Linked DNA regions of Drosophila melanogaster. Each later gene encodes a partner of the first gene's protein in a complex. Each region holds a gene or a part of one and is shown on either strand. Other genes may lie near its edges. A codon is read from its position in the direction of its gene.

Region 1 (10,398 bases):
TTTATATGCGAGTCAAAAGTACTATACAGCTCAGACAATGTCAACATAAAGTTAGACGACAAGCGTCCCTACCATTATGGACTCGATATAAACGACATGGAACGGATTCCACGGGGTCCTTATTTCGTAAAGCAGCCAAACGACACGACTTTCGATGTGAACAAGAATCGCCTGATTAATGATGTTACTCTTAGCTGTTTGGCCAACGGGTATCCAACACCTTCATACACATGGTACCGAGAGGTATACGTAGACGACAGACTCGAGTACCAAAAGATTGATCCCCTGGCGCAGGATCGATACACCATATCAGGAGGCAACCTGATTATCTACGAGCCGAAGCAAGCGCTGGACCAGGGCGCGTATCATTGTGTGGCAGAAAACAAATTTGGGCGAATTCGATCCGAAAGCGCGCATTTAAACTTCGGTTTCATTATGGAATTCAATCTAAAACGGTCTGCGGAGACAAGCGAGATGAATTGGGGCAAATCCATATTCTGTGACCCCCCGCAGCACTATCCCGACGTACGCTATTACTGGGCTCGAGACTATTTTCCTAACTTCGTGGAGGAAGATCAACGCGTATTCGTCTCCCGCGATGGTGCCCTATACTTCTCCTTCATAGAAACTGTGGACAGAGCCAACTACTCGTGCACCGTACAGACCCTTGTGTCGGACACCGGTCGCAACGGACCCTTCTTTCCGTTGCGCGTTACCCCCAACAGCAACTATCAAGCACTGATATTTGCCAACACCTTCCCTAAAGTCTTTCCGGAGGCGCCAGTGGCAGGTGACGAGATTCGGCTGGAGTGCATGGCCTTCGGTTACCCCATTCCGTCATACAATTGGACCCGCCAAGGCCTACCTCTCCAACGCAACGCCTACACGATCAACTATGGGCGTGTCTTAATAATCCAAAATGCGACAACGAACGACAACGGCGAGTACTCCTGCACGATTACCAATCCCCGGAAGACACTTATGAAGAGCATATACATCAATATTCAAATGCGCCCACAATTTACCATACCTCTTAAAGACATGATAAAAGACTACAACAGTGACGTGACTTTCATTTGCGAGGCATTTGCAATTCCGGACGCGAATTACACGTGGTACAAAAATGCCGAACGACTCGACCCAGCGAATATTAATCGCGACCGATACATTATCCAAGACAATGTGTTAACCATTAAATTTCTAGAAAAGGATAAAGACGACGCAATGTACCAATGTGGTGCCCAAAACCAACTGAAGACCTCCTTCTCTTCGGCGCAGCTCCGAGTGCTGTCTATGAAACCGTCCTTTAAAAAGCATCCCCTTGAATCTGAAGTCTATGCTGTTTACAACGGCAATACGACAATTGTGTGCGACCCGGAAGCCGCTCCACGCCCTAAGTTTCAATGGAAGAAGGATGGACAGGTGATTGGCTCGGGAGGCCACCGGCGCATTCTGCCCAGTGGTACCCTGACAATATCACCCACGTCGCGGGACGATGAGGGCATTTACACATGTATTGCATCAAACCAAGCCGGCACCGACGAATCGCACGCGCGTGTTATTGTATTGCGTAAGTAGAAAATGTCATTCATATGCAATATACATTTTTTTTAAAAAGTAATTTTATTTTGTCAAAAAACCTACTTGTGTTTCCTCAATTGGATGCAAAATGATTTTATTTAAAAAAGTTAATTTATATATAGTTTATAAATAATATATATTTACTTTGATAAAACGCATTGTTTAGAGAACTTTTTTAAAATTGTTTTTAATGCACCTATCTTTGTTATTGTCTGAGTAGCATAGTAAGAGTAAAATGACTAATACATAATAAACTAATTTAGTATTTAAATACTTGAAATTTTATCAAGACTTATGTAAACCTATTTATTCAAATATTTACAGAGGAAATTCGTTTCATTGAAACGCCTCCACAACGAATCGTTTCTAAGGAACACGACTTAATCTTCTTGCATTGCGAGGCCGCCTTTGATGAACTCCTCGACATTGCTTATGTTTGGAAACACAACGGCGAAGTCCTAAAAAACAATCACGACGGCACCGGACGCATTGTAAGTTAATGTTCTGAAATCTGCACTAAACCTGTCCTTATATTAACCTTTTTGTTATTGCAGATTGTAGATTGGAACAGATTGACAGTGCATAACACGAGCATGCGCGATGCCGGGGACTACGAATGCGTTGTCAAGTCGGCGGTAAACGAAATTAGCAGCAAGACCAGTGTTTCTATTGAGGGAGCTCCTGGCGCTCCTGGTGGTGTTCAAGTCATACAGATAAGTAAAACGAAGGCCATCATTGAGTGGGTGGACGGATCGCACAACGGTCGTGCGATCCGCTACTACAACATCCTAGGCCGTACAAACTGGAATCGCACCTGGGTTAATGTGTCGACCCATGTGCAGGCGCGAGAAGTAGATCGATACACCTCTCGCCAGCAAGCCGAGGTTGTCAATCTGACGCCGTGGTCGGCTTACGAATTTAGTGTTACTGCTGTAAACGATCTGGGAATCGGAACGCCCTCGGCCCCCTCGCCAATTTACAGCACCTATGAGGACAAACCATACATAGCCCCGAGGAACGTGGGTGGTGGAGGTGGAAAGATTGGCGACCTAACTATCACCTGGGATCCGCTTCTACCGCAAGAGCAGCATAGCCACGGCATACACTATAAAGTGTTTTGGAAGCTCAAGGGAGCCATTGAATGGGCATCTGACGAAATAAAAAAACAGGATCACATGGGCGTGGCTGTGGTTAATATTCCTCTTAATAACTACTATACGGAGTACGAAGTCAAAGTCCAAGCCATTAACAGTGTTGGCAAGGGACCGGAGAGTGAAATAGCTGTCATACACTCCGCTGAGGACATGCCACAGGTGGCTCCTCAAAAGCCCATTGCGCTCGCCTACAACTCCACATGCTTTAATGTCACTTGGCAACCTATAGACATGTCCCGTGAAAACATTCGTGGCAAACTCATTGGCCACAGGGTATGGTTACTGCACTTAATTCCATTGCATTGTCAAAAACCCTTATCTTTCACCAGTTGAAGTATTGGAAAACGACGCACCAGGAAGAAGACTCGGTATACTACCTGTCACGTACTACAAGGAATTGGGCGCTTATCGTAGGTCTACAACCAGATACTTACTACTTTGTTAAAGTCATGGCTTACAATGCTGCAGGTGAAGGACCTGAAAGCGAACGCTTTGAAGGTGTGTAACGAACAGTTTAAAAAACCATTTAAAGAAAATGCTTAAACACCATGCTTTTTAGAACGAACATATAGAAAGGCCCCGCAAAAGCCGCCATCTTCGGTTCACGTGTATGGAATAAACCCGTCTACCGTGCGGGTTGTTTGGAGATATGTTTCACCTTCGCAAGACGAGGAACCAGTAGAGGGTTATAAGGTACAACTCCCGGCACCGTGACCAAGAAAATCGATTACAGTTTGAAACTTTCTAGGTTCGCATTTGGGAATCGGACCAGAACATGATTACGGCCAACAATACCATAGTGCCAATCGGACAGAAACTGGAGTCGTACATCAACAATCTGACGCCAGGGAAGAGTTACAACATGCGAGTCCTCGCATACAGCAATGGAGGAGACGGTCGCATGTCCAGTCCAACTTTACACTTCCAGATGGGCAAGACCACGCGCAACGGCGCAAATACCCGACATGGCCACAATATCAATACGGCTCTTATCTTAAGCACATTGCTACTCATTAGCACCTTTCTTTACACAAGCCAATGAATGCAGCACAAATTAAGATCCATAACTTTAGGCAGTAAGAACATACATATACTAAGAAGTGACCTTATATTTGAGTAAGTGAAGTTATAAAAAGAACTACATTCCATCCGTGCTCTCTTGCAAGCCCCTTAATTGATACAAATGCAATTCCGTCCATTTTATAGACTTTTATCAAAAAATAATTTCTAAAATTTTATCAACAAAATAAATATGAATACCATTATATGGTCCAGTATGTTGCTGAACTAAAAATAACAATATCCCTATTTTTTTACTTGGAATAATGAATTATGAATTAATTATGAACGTGTGCCCCGGTTGGCCATATTTATGTCCCTTTTTGTTCACCTGGTAATACTACTCCTGCATTTTATACCCGATACTCGTGAAGTAAAAGGGTATACCAGACTAGTTAAAAAATATGTAGCAGGTAGAAGAGGTCTTGATCAGGATCGATCTGGCCATGTCCGTCCCTATGGACGTCGAGATCTCAGAAACTATCACAAATCAAAATTAATTATTGTCCAAAAATATCAAAAAGAACTAAGAACTAAGTGTTTATTTTTGGTTTTTCGATTATTTATTTTGCTGCTATTTCATCGCCCGCGTAAAACGGGCGGACATGGCTATATCGACTTGTCTGTTTTTACTGATTAAGAATATTTAATACTTATATATATGTATACGTAAATGTCTATTCGAATTTCCTTTCTACCAGGTACCCGGTATTCTTCTACAATTACAAACGAAAGCCATCTATCGGTGGGGTTACATTTATTGCTCACAACGCCGGAATATGTCATTAATGAAAAAAAAAGTTTGGTTTTTTCTTACTTTGCGTTAAAAATTAGTGCAGTATTGCAAATGGCTAGCTATTTTCCGCATACGGAAATACCACACAATACCAATCGGCTTCGGGAATCCCCCTAATATTACATGACGAATCTAATATGGTGCTGCGGTCCTCCTCGGTCACACTGAAATACTGCGAGCAGCGAGCAGTAGCTGTGGGCATTGGCAAAAACATAGAGAGAGAAGATAGATGCAAACATGGTTTTATAGCGGAAATCTCATACAATCGCACTGGACATCTGGGAACTTGAACCATCGACCTGCCACAGGCAAAGGCTTTCCCGTAAGGTTATCCTGGGTAGCTAAGGGAACACCATGGCGTATGGCTGGAACGGATGCGGAATGGGCGTGCAGGTGAACGGAAGCAACGGCGCCATAGGTTTATCCTCGAAGTATTCTCGCAACACGGAGCTGCGACGCGTTGAGGACAATGACATTTACCGGCTTGCCAAAATACTAGATGAGAACTCATGCTGGCGCAAATTGATGTCGATCATACCCAAGGGCATGGATGTGCAGGCCTGCAGCGGAGCCGGATGCTTGAATTTTCCGGCGGAAATCAAAAAGGGATTTAAGTACACTGCGCAGGACGTGTTCCAGATTGACGAGGCTGCAAACCGACTACCGCCGGACCAAAGCAAGTCGCAGATGATGATCGACGAGTGGAAGACCTCTGGCAAGCTCAACGAGCGGCCCACGGTTGGGGTATTGCTCCAACTTCTGGTGCAGGCAGAGCTCTTCAGTGCGGCAGACTTTGTGGCACTAGACTTCCTAAATGGCAAGTATGACTATGTTTGCCTTAAACTGACAAAACTAAAAAAAGTGTATCCACTGACTTCTCTAGAGTCCACCCCTGCCCGGCCTGTTGACGGTCCCGGTGCGCTCATAAGCCTTGAGCTGCTGGAAGAGGAAATGGAAGTGGACAACGAGGGGCTGAGCCTCAAATACCAGTCAAGCACTGCCACTCTTGGGGCAGACGCTCAAGGTAGCGTTGGCCTGAACCTGGACAACTTTGAAAAAGACATTGTGAGGCGGGACAAGAGTGTGCCCCAGCCGTCAGGAAACACCCCTCCCATAGCGCCACCTCGACGACAGCAAAGGAGTACTACTAACTCCAACTTTGCAACATTGACAGGCACCGGAACTACGTCGACGACCATCCCGAATGTGCCCAATCTGACAATTCTCAATCCCAGCGAACAAATTCAGGAGCCAGTGCTGCAGCCACGACCGATGAACATCCCCGATCTGTCTATACTCATTTCGAACTCTGGTGATTTGCGGGCAACTGTGTCGGACAACCCAAGCAACAGAACTAGCTCAACGGATCCGCCTAACATTCCGCGAATCACTCTTTTAATTGATAATTCTGGAGATGTAAACTCTCGACCAAATCACGCTCCAGCGAAAGCTTCAACGGCTACCACATCAACGGCGAGCTCAAACAACTTGCCAATGATAAGCGCCTTGAATATAAGTAAAGGCAGCAGGGAGACCTTGCGTCCTGAGAGCAGAAGCAGCTCCAGCAGCTTGAGCAAAGATGATGACGATGATAACGATGGTGAGGAGGATGGAGAGGAAGAGTACCCAGATGCCTTCTTGCCAAATCTGAGTAACTCAGAGCAGCAGAGCTCAAACAATGACTCCAGCCTGACAACGGTTACTGGCACCAGTGGTGATAACAGCTTTGAGCTAACCAACGACTCCAGCTCCACCTCAAACGACGATTACGCTTGCAACATTCCAGACTTGAGTGAGCTGCAGCAATAGATAAAAGCACCGACCATCGGCGGAGATGACATTCCGTTCGATAACTTATGCAACCCAGATGTATTCATTTGGCAGCTGGGTGTGGACCTTCTTATGTTATGCATGAGGTCCAACTAGAATCTAAGATTCAGTGCACGATTTGTTCATATCACGTCTGTAATCGTGACAGTACATGACAAGTACGGCAATATCAAATATTTCCGTTTCAAGAAAGCCATAACCCAATACCAAAATTTAACAAATTTTGTATACTTACGAAATACTCCTTCATTTTCTAGTATAAATTTCCTTAAACGCATAATGGGTTTCTGTGACAGTTTTGTCTTGGGACAAACTGCGATCTTATGACATTTTTCGTTATTAATTGATTGTTGCCTAAAATATTTCACAAGTACGATATAATGGCTAAATACAAATAAAATATTTTTGAAAACATTGTCTGTTTTTCTCGACGTTCATACTGATAATATACCACATGACCGCTTAAGTCAAAGCCTTTTTCAGGGCTGTAAGTTCAAGAGTTTAAGGCGACTGTTTTTTCTCGGTGAAAAAACTTTAGGTTTTTCAAATGAACGAATGCATTTTGTATGTAATTTTTGTACTATTTTATTTATGTGCACAGGTTAGTTTCGTTTAGTTACTAAATTAATACACTGTTGTCCGTTCCAAAATGTACACTTACCTTTCTCCTCGGATGACATGTCCATTGCCTTTTCCGTATAACTGCAAATTTTTGATTTTAATTGTTTTATTTTTGTTGTTCGAAACAGCAAACAGTATTACTCCACATTTGCTCTAATGCCCCGTGCCCGTGGCACGCAGAATAGTCGATCTTCAAACTGCTGACAATTAAAAATGTCTCGCACCTTGTTTTTATTTAAATTCTCATTTGCTATGGCGGGCGCGGTACGATATTGGTCCCGTGCTATCGCGTACCATTCATAATATCGATATCTTAAGAACAATAATCGGGAATTTGTTGGACACCTCTAGTGTTCGACGAAACCACTGAGCCAAACAAAATCCGAAATTATTCGCAACATGGACGAGTCGGAGCTGCTATTCAATCTGTTTTATATTCTGTTGTGCATGGTGATCATCTACCCGCCAGAGGAGTTCCAACGCCTGGGATTCACCATTGAACAGTTGTTCGCTCGGTTCCTGGGAGAAGAGTACCTGGACTTTGTAGGCTACCACCAGCGCCGTACTTCGCTGAATCTCTTCGTGCACTCCTGTCTGCCCTTCTCCTACTTTCTTATTCATAGGCTCAAGTTCTCCGTCTTCGCCACGCAGGAGCCCTTGGAGGACTTCGACCTGGACCCGGATTTCCCCATGCCCCAGGAAGCGGTAGCGTTTAAAACGCTTACGTGGAAAACCGCCCAGCGGTTCAGTGTGTTGGCCGTTCTGGCGATGCCCGCTCTGATCTTCAACTGGCACCAGGAAAACTGGCGTCGGCACCCGATCAGCAAGGCGCTCTCCAAGTACTCCATCACGCCGGGCAGCTACAGTGCCGTGGCTAGCGAAATTGGTATAGAGTTCCGGCAACCGGAAATATACAAGAAGAAGCTAAATTCCATTAGCTCGGTGATTGCCACGCAGAACTGGATAATAAAAACCACCATGTACAATGTTCACTTCGCCCATCAGAGCAACACGTCGCTTAGCGTAGCTAAGGTCAGTGGTACACGATTCCTTTGTATGTGCGACCCTAATATTTTGTCCGCAGGCAGAAACTTACAACATATCGCATCAAGACCAAAACGACACCTTGCAGATGATAAGCATTATTGTACGGCCAATGAGGCAGGGTGTGAGCGACTTCCACATACGAATTAATGCCCTGGAGTTTAGGAATCTAGAGAACCGAGTCCGACGACCAATCGCAATTCCCTCCAACATTCAGTTACACCGCAATGTTATAGACCGTTTTGTGGACGTCTTCAAGGCGCAAGTCGCCCAAAATCCCATTTTTCCAGATGATGCTACTACGGAAAAGTGTTTTGCCTGCATGCTAAACGAACCAAACACCAAGATCCACAAGCAGTGTGCCGACTTTGATCGCAATGGCGCTCCCTTGGCGAACGGGGCGTGCTGCTCAAACTGCTACTGCCGGCCCATGTGGTGTGTAGAGTGCCTAGCGCGCTGGTTTGCCGCTCGCCAAAGTGACGTGGATCGTGAGGTGTGGCTGGAGCAGAAGTGCACATGCCCAATGTGCCGAGCCAAGTTTTGTGTGCTTGATGTCAGCTACATCACAACCACAGTCGATGCAACTAACAGTACTCAGAGTCAAGGCACCGAAGAAGATACTAATGACACCACGTGATTTATGACTGTTAGAGATTAAAGGACTCTTAAATCGAACCTGGTTCTTTATTGGTCTTATTTAAGTGTAATCATTTTCAATACAGTAAGACGTACAATTATATAGCTATAAACTTATAAATATGCATAGTAATTAGTGCACTTATCACTTTTTAATACTTTAACAATCTAAGCAATCCTAATATTTTTATTTTACTTAAGTACAATTGATCTAAGCATAGACAGAAAGAGTGTTCATATGAGAAATATGCCTTAATATGCTCTGCATAGGAAACCTGTAGTGCAATAAGTCCACTATCTAAATGCGTTTTATTTTCTTTGTCCTCTCAATCTGATAAAAAAGGCGTCATGCTAATTTATATACATGTGCATGATAAGTAATGGAAATACATATTAAAGATCTATAAATTCGTTTCGTAAACACTTTTATAGCTCTCAACCTGGTCACGTTGGCTTCTTGTCTGATTAGCTGCAGGCGTCATCGGTCCTGTCGCAGGGTCGAGGCACTTGGATATTGTGCTTTTCGAAGTGCAATTTGAGACCTTAAATAAAATAGTCATTAGTTAGTCTTTTACAAGAAACTGTTGTGTTTCTATTTCAAGCTTTATAGTAGCTTTCATTTCAAATTTTAATATTTTAATATTGGCGGAAAAATGTGGCATTTGATTTCTTAACGAAGAATAAGATATATTTTAATAGCGCATTTTCAAACCCATTGAAGGTAAATATTTGTATACCTTCTTATAAAACACCAAAGTAAAATTGCATCGCTTTGGAATAAATAAGGTAAAATAAATAACATTTCTAAATATTATGGACATTTTACGATTTGAGATGTGTTTGAGTAAAAAATGGCAAGACAAAAAATATTTATTAAAGTGCCGGCATGACTGTTTTGGTCAGTACATATGCACACTCAACTTTCAAGCATTTGTATTTCCCCTGATGACTAGACACCCATAGGGATAGGGACATGGCCATATCGACTCAGCTTTATTGGGTCGGAAACTTTTCCTTCTACCTGTAACATACTTTTAAACTAATTTGGTATTCCATTCGGATCTGCGAGTATTTGTAATATATATTTTTGTTATTTCACTTGCCAATTTAAAAATGGAAATCAATGTTGAAGGACGTGAACCAAAGGTGATGTAAAATAAAATCCTATACTTTAGTACTCCAAATTCGCCCCCAATGCATTCCAAAACTCCACATTTGAGTTTTAGACAAAGGTGTATTGGAATTGTTGTTGGCATAGACCGCTGTGCTTTCCGTGGATTTCCGAAAGTAGTAGACCTAAAGTTTCCTATATCCAAACAAATGATTGACTCAAACTGGACTGACACCCCGAAAATAAATTTTATGCTATTACACCGCTTTTTTCCTAAACCGTTAATATTTTTTAAACATTAGGAATTCGATACTTCTGATGTTATTTTTTCCTATACACAGTTAACATAGCAGTGCTGTAACATTCCGCTAAGTGTTTTTGATGTGAAAATCTGGATTTCCGTAAATTATTTTAAGTCGAAAAAAACAAATTTCCTTAACAATCTAATCTTATCGTCACTTACTTTTTCTTTACATATAAATCTTTGCAAATTTTCACACCCAGGGGTAAAGTACAAAAATACTAGATTATTGGTTAAAATGTCATGTTAACTCTGCAAAAAGTTT
Region 2 (3,600 bases), about 23 Mb from region 1:
CACCAGCGAGGACATGGAGCTGTTGCCGCCGATATGTTGGTGTGATGTGACCGCGGTTGCGGCGGCGGCCTTCTTGGCCTTGGCATTCGCTGCCTGAAAATGAATAGAGGATTAGTGAACTTGATTTTGGAAATTCTCCCGCAGACAGATGGCTTTACCTTGTGGCTCTGCATTCGAAACGTGCGGTTGGATGTAAGGGCGCATGGAAATGAATGGGTTTTTGAATGGATTTTGATGATGTGCAAAGAGCAGCGCATTAGTCGATGTTGTTGGTGAGGCGCGTTGCATTGTAGTGGTTCAAGTGGTGGAGCATAAGAAAGATAAAGCAAGATATCTTAGTTGGAAATTTTTTTTGGGATGAAGATATCACAATTTGTATGGACTTCTACGTTAAGTTAGACAGACACAAGGATTCGCGATGAGAATATCCACCCAAGGGCTCCGTTTCGCTTACCTTTGGATTGTTGGCCACGATGGGTGGCGGATGGGAGCCATCGCCGGAGTCCGGGCTCAGCTCGACGGCCTTGCTAGCAAGCAACTTGTTGCGCCAGACCTGCTTCATCTCCTGCAGCACCTGTTCGTCGACGCCCTCGTCCAGGAACGCGTCCCGCACATTTGTGATGACGTCCTCGATCACGGCATGGTACACCTTCAGCTGCGGGCGAGAGGGGATGCGGTTAATTGTGTATAATTAAATTTGAAATGCACGACAAATCTGGGCTTGTGTTGACTTAAACACTCATTATATTATCGCGGCTCAACTTCACGCTATTAGGGCCTAAACAGTTGGGGGTAAAACAATAGGGATTGCGCAAAAAATCCACGAAGCAAGTAAAGGGCAAGACGCTATAGAAGTTGAAAATGTGGCGCACAGTATGTGGTGAGCCTTTTTGAGCTCCCATTAAAATTCAGACGCAGCTGTAATGTGAATATGCAAAACGCAAATAAAGTATGTAAATTATTTGTTTGCGAAGAATGTCGCAGTGCACATATGTACATAGATACCATGCATATGCTGGTATATATATATATGTACATTGTACATATATATACACCGGTATGCCAGTTGCTTGTTTTATTAATAGTTTGTTTTGCGTTATCAGCGGACGATAAGGAAGGAGGCCCCGACTTGTAGATAATAGCACAAGCTACGCAGCGTGTATTACTGCTAAATATAACCCCCCATGGGAGTTTGAAGTACTACGCGGAAAAGCCGAAAATCGGAAAATCCAGAGGGCAAGAAACATACAAAACTGCAAGGCAACGAACGCACTAACACAGCGACATCCAGACAGACACGCACTCGCATGCACACACATCCACACCCGAGAGGTTTGCAGTTTTGGTATCTCGGATTTCAGCAGTTGTAACTATCGTTTTGTAGTAACTACCATGACCACTGGGAAAGCTTTCACTTTCCCGCGTGGGCGGCGGAAGGAGGTGAAGCTGGAGGAAATGGAGAAACTCCTTGGTAGGATGCCTTCCATATGTCGAATGCAATGGAGCCACCGCCGCTGACACAATTACCGGATCTCGGGGATCCAGCCGCACACTCACCACCGATGTCTGGCATAGCGCCATTTGGACCTTTTTCTCCGCCAGCTTGAGGCTTTTCCGTTCGCTGGTGGGGCTAATTGACGTATTTGCTGAATTATAAATGGGCGAAGCGAAGAATTAGCGATAGCGATGCGTTCGTGACGGTGTCAGCAGTGTGGCCACCTGCGGGGCACTTGAAAACGACGCATGTCCGCCAAACTGCAAGGCTCATTTGGTCATACACTAATTGCCTTTGGTATTTTTTAAGATATTTTAGTATACAAAATACTGTGCAAATTACATAAAATATGTGGAGGTTATTTAAAATCTATTTAATATTTTCATACAGCAAATACCTTTTTAATAATTACTCTGCTTTCTTTTTACTTCTGAATTTTAAACAGTGGCTCCTAAGCATCTACCACTTTTTCGAGTGTATTATTTGCTAGACATTGGCAGCGTTGCCAGACTGCTTCGCTCTGTTAAGCTGCTTTATCACTTGTTGCGCCGCTGTTAACAAGTCATCCACAGGTTTTCATCGAATCGCGTTGGGAATTTACCCAAAAGCGATTTTCGTTTCGCTGCAACAGGTTACCAGCGCCGCCAACCCCTCATCCAACGGGCACTCTTGCATCCGGAGCCGCATGAATCAGTCGCAACCGGTTGAACCGCCCGCCCATAAGTGAAAGATGAGTGGCGTCCAGACCGCCGAAGCCGAGGCGCAGGCCCAAAACCAAGCGAATGGCAACAGGACCAGGTCGCGTTCCCACTTGGACAACACAATGGCCATCCGACTGCTGCCGTTGCCCGTGCGAGCCCAGCTATGTGCCCACTTGGATGCCCTAGACGTATGGCAACAGCTGGCCACGGCCGTAAAACTCTATCCCGACCAGGTGGAGCAGATAAGCAGCCAGAAGCAGCGTGGCCGCTCAGCCTCCAATGAGTTCCTCAACATTTGGGGCGGTCAGTACAATCACACGGTGCAAACATTGTTTGCTTTGTTCAAAAAGTGAGTCAGTTTGAGATAATAACCGCCGAGATCCCAGAAATGACTCCTCTTACTTTAGATTGAAGCTTCATAACGCCATGCGTCTGATCAAAGATTACGTTAGCGAGGATCTGCACAAGTACATACCGAGGAGCGTGCCCACCATCAGCGAGCTGCGCGCTGCTCCCGATTCCAGTGCCAAAGTAAACAACGGCCCGCCGTTTCCCTCCTCCTCGGGCGTCAGCAACTCAAACAACAATCGCACCAGCACAACGGCAACGGAGGAGATACCCAGCCTGGAGTCCCTGGGCAATATACACATTAGCACCGTACAGCGGGCAGCCGAATCCTTGCTGGAGATCGATTATGCGGAGCTAGAAAACGCCACGGACGGCTGGAGTCCGGATAATCGACTGGGACAGGGCGGATTCGGAGACGTGTACCGCGGCAAATGGAAGCAACTGGACGTGGCCATCAAGGTGATGAACTACCGCAGTCCCAACATCGACCAGAAAATGGTGGAGCTGCAGCAGAGCTACAACGAACTCAAGTATTTAAACAGCATCCGGCACGACAATATCCTGGCCCTCTACGGATACAGCATCAAAGGTGGTAAGCCGTGCCTCGTCTACCAGCTGATGAAGGGCGGCTCCCTGGAGGCTCGTTTACGAGCGCATAAGGCACAAAACCCACTACCAGCACTCACCTGGCAGCAGCGGTTTAGCATCAGCCTCGGCACGGCTAGGTGGGATTTATCGTTTCTTTAGTGCTATCAATCTTCTTTAACTTTTCATTTCGTTTCCAAAAGAGGCATCTACTTTCTGCACACGGCGCGAGGCACACCGCTGATTCATGGAGATATTAAGCCGGCCAACATCCTGCTGGACCAATGTCTGCAGCCAAAAATCGGAGACTTCGGTCTGGTGCGCGAGGGTCCCAAGTCCTTGGACGCTGTGGTGGAAGTGAATAAAGTTTTCGGCACTAAGATCTACCTGCCACCGGAGTTCCGCAACTTCAGACAACTCAGCACGGGCGTGGACGTCTACAGCTTCGGCATTGTGCTGTTGGAGGTGTTC

What was found. Proteins that work in one complex are often made in the same cells at the same time.
Region 2: the proteins of tub (region 1) and pll are in contact, whole or in part, in a crystal structure (PDB 1D2Z), measured with the Drosophila melanogaster proteins. Residues at the interface, in NP_001189164.1 of Drosophila melanogaster: Ile47 (codon at 5,083), Glu50 (codon at 5,092), Asn51 (codon at 5,095), Cys53 (codon at 5,101), Lys56 (codon at 5,110), Ala139 (codon at 5,359), Glu140 (codon at 5,362), Leu141 (codon at 5,365), Phe142 (codon at 5,368), Ser143 (codon at 5,371), Asp146 (codon at 5,380), Arg160 (codon at 5,488), Asp163 (codon at 5,497), Gly164 (codon at 5,500), Pro165 (codon at 5,503), Gly166 (codon at 5,506), Ala167 (codon at 5,509), Leu168 (codon at 5,512), Ile169 (codon at 5,515), Ser170 (codon at 5,518), Leu171 (codon at 5,521), Glu172 (codon at 5,524); in NP_001263008.1 of Drosophila melanogaster: Arg35, Val62, Lys63, Leu64, Tyr65, Gln68, Gln71, Glu85, Asn88, Ile89, Trp90, Gly91, Gly92, Gln93, Tyr94, Asn95, His96, Gln99, Thr100, Phe102, Ala103, Leu104, Lys106, Lys107, Leu125, Tyr128.

Annotation. Positions count from the first base shown.
Region 1 is NT_033777.3:4,382,986-4,393,383, forward strand, and holds tub (tube), read left to right. Parts: upstream 1-4,756; 5' UTR 4,757-4,944; coding exon 4,945-5,407; intron 5,408-5,473; coding exon 5,474-6,399; 3' UTR 6,400-6,828; downstream 6,829-10,398. Other genes in the region: Cont (contactin), read left to right, coding at 1-1,570, 1,906-2,072, 2,136-3,008, 3,065-3,233, 3,295-3,428, 3,484-3,777; CG14646 (uncharacterized protein), read left to right, coding at 7,441-8,073, 8,126-8,722; CG34112 (uncharacterized protein), read right to left, coding at 9,123-9,263. UniProt on the Drosophila melanogaster protein: Plays an essential role in the Tl receptor signaling pathway that establishes embryonic dorsoventral polarity; the signal directs import of dl into ventral and ventrolateral nuclei, thereby establishing dorsoventral polarity.
Region 2 is NT_033777.3:27,251,583-27,255,182, reverse strand, and holds the start of pll (pelle), read left to right. Parts: upstream 1-2,000; 5' UTR 2,001-2,225; coding exon 2,226-2,545; intron 2,546-2,603; coding exon 2,604-3,269; intron 3,270-3,332; coding exon 3,333-3,600. Other genes in the region: TfIIA-L (transcription factor IIA L), read right to left, coding at 1-93, 159-167, 455-655, 1,558-1,581. UniProt on the Drosophila melanogaster protein: Plays an essential role in the Tl receptor signaling pathway that establishes embryonic dorsoventral polarity; the signal directs import of dl into ventral and ventrolateral nuclei, thereby establishing dorsoventral polarity.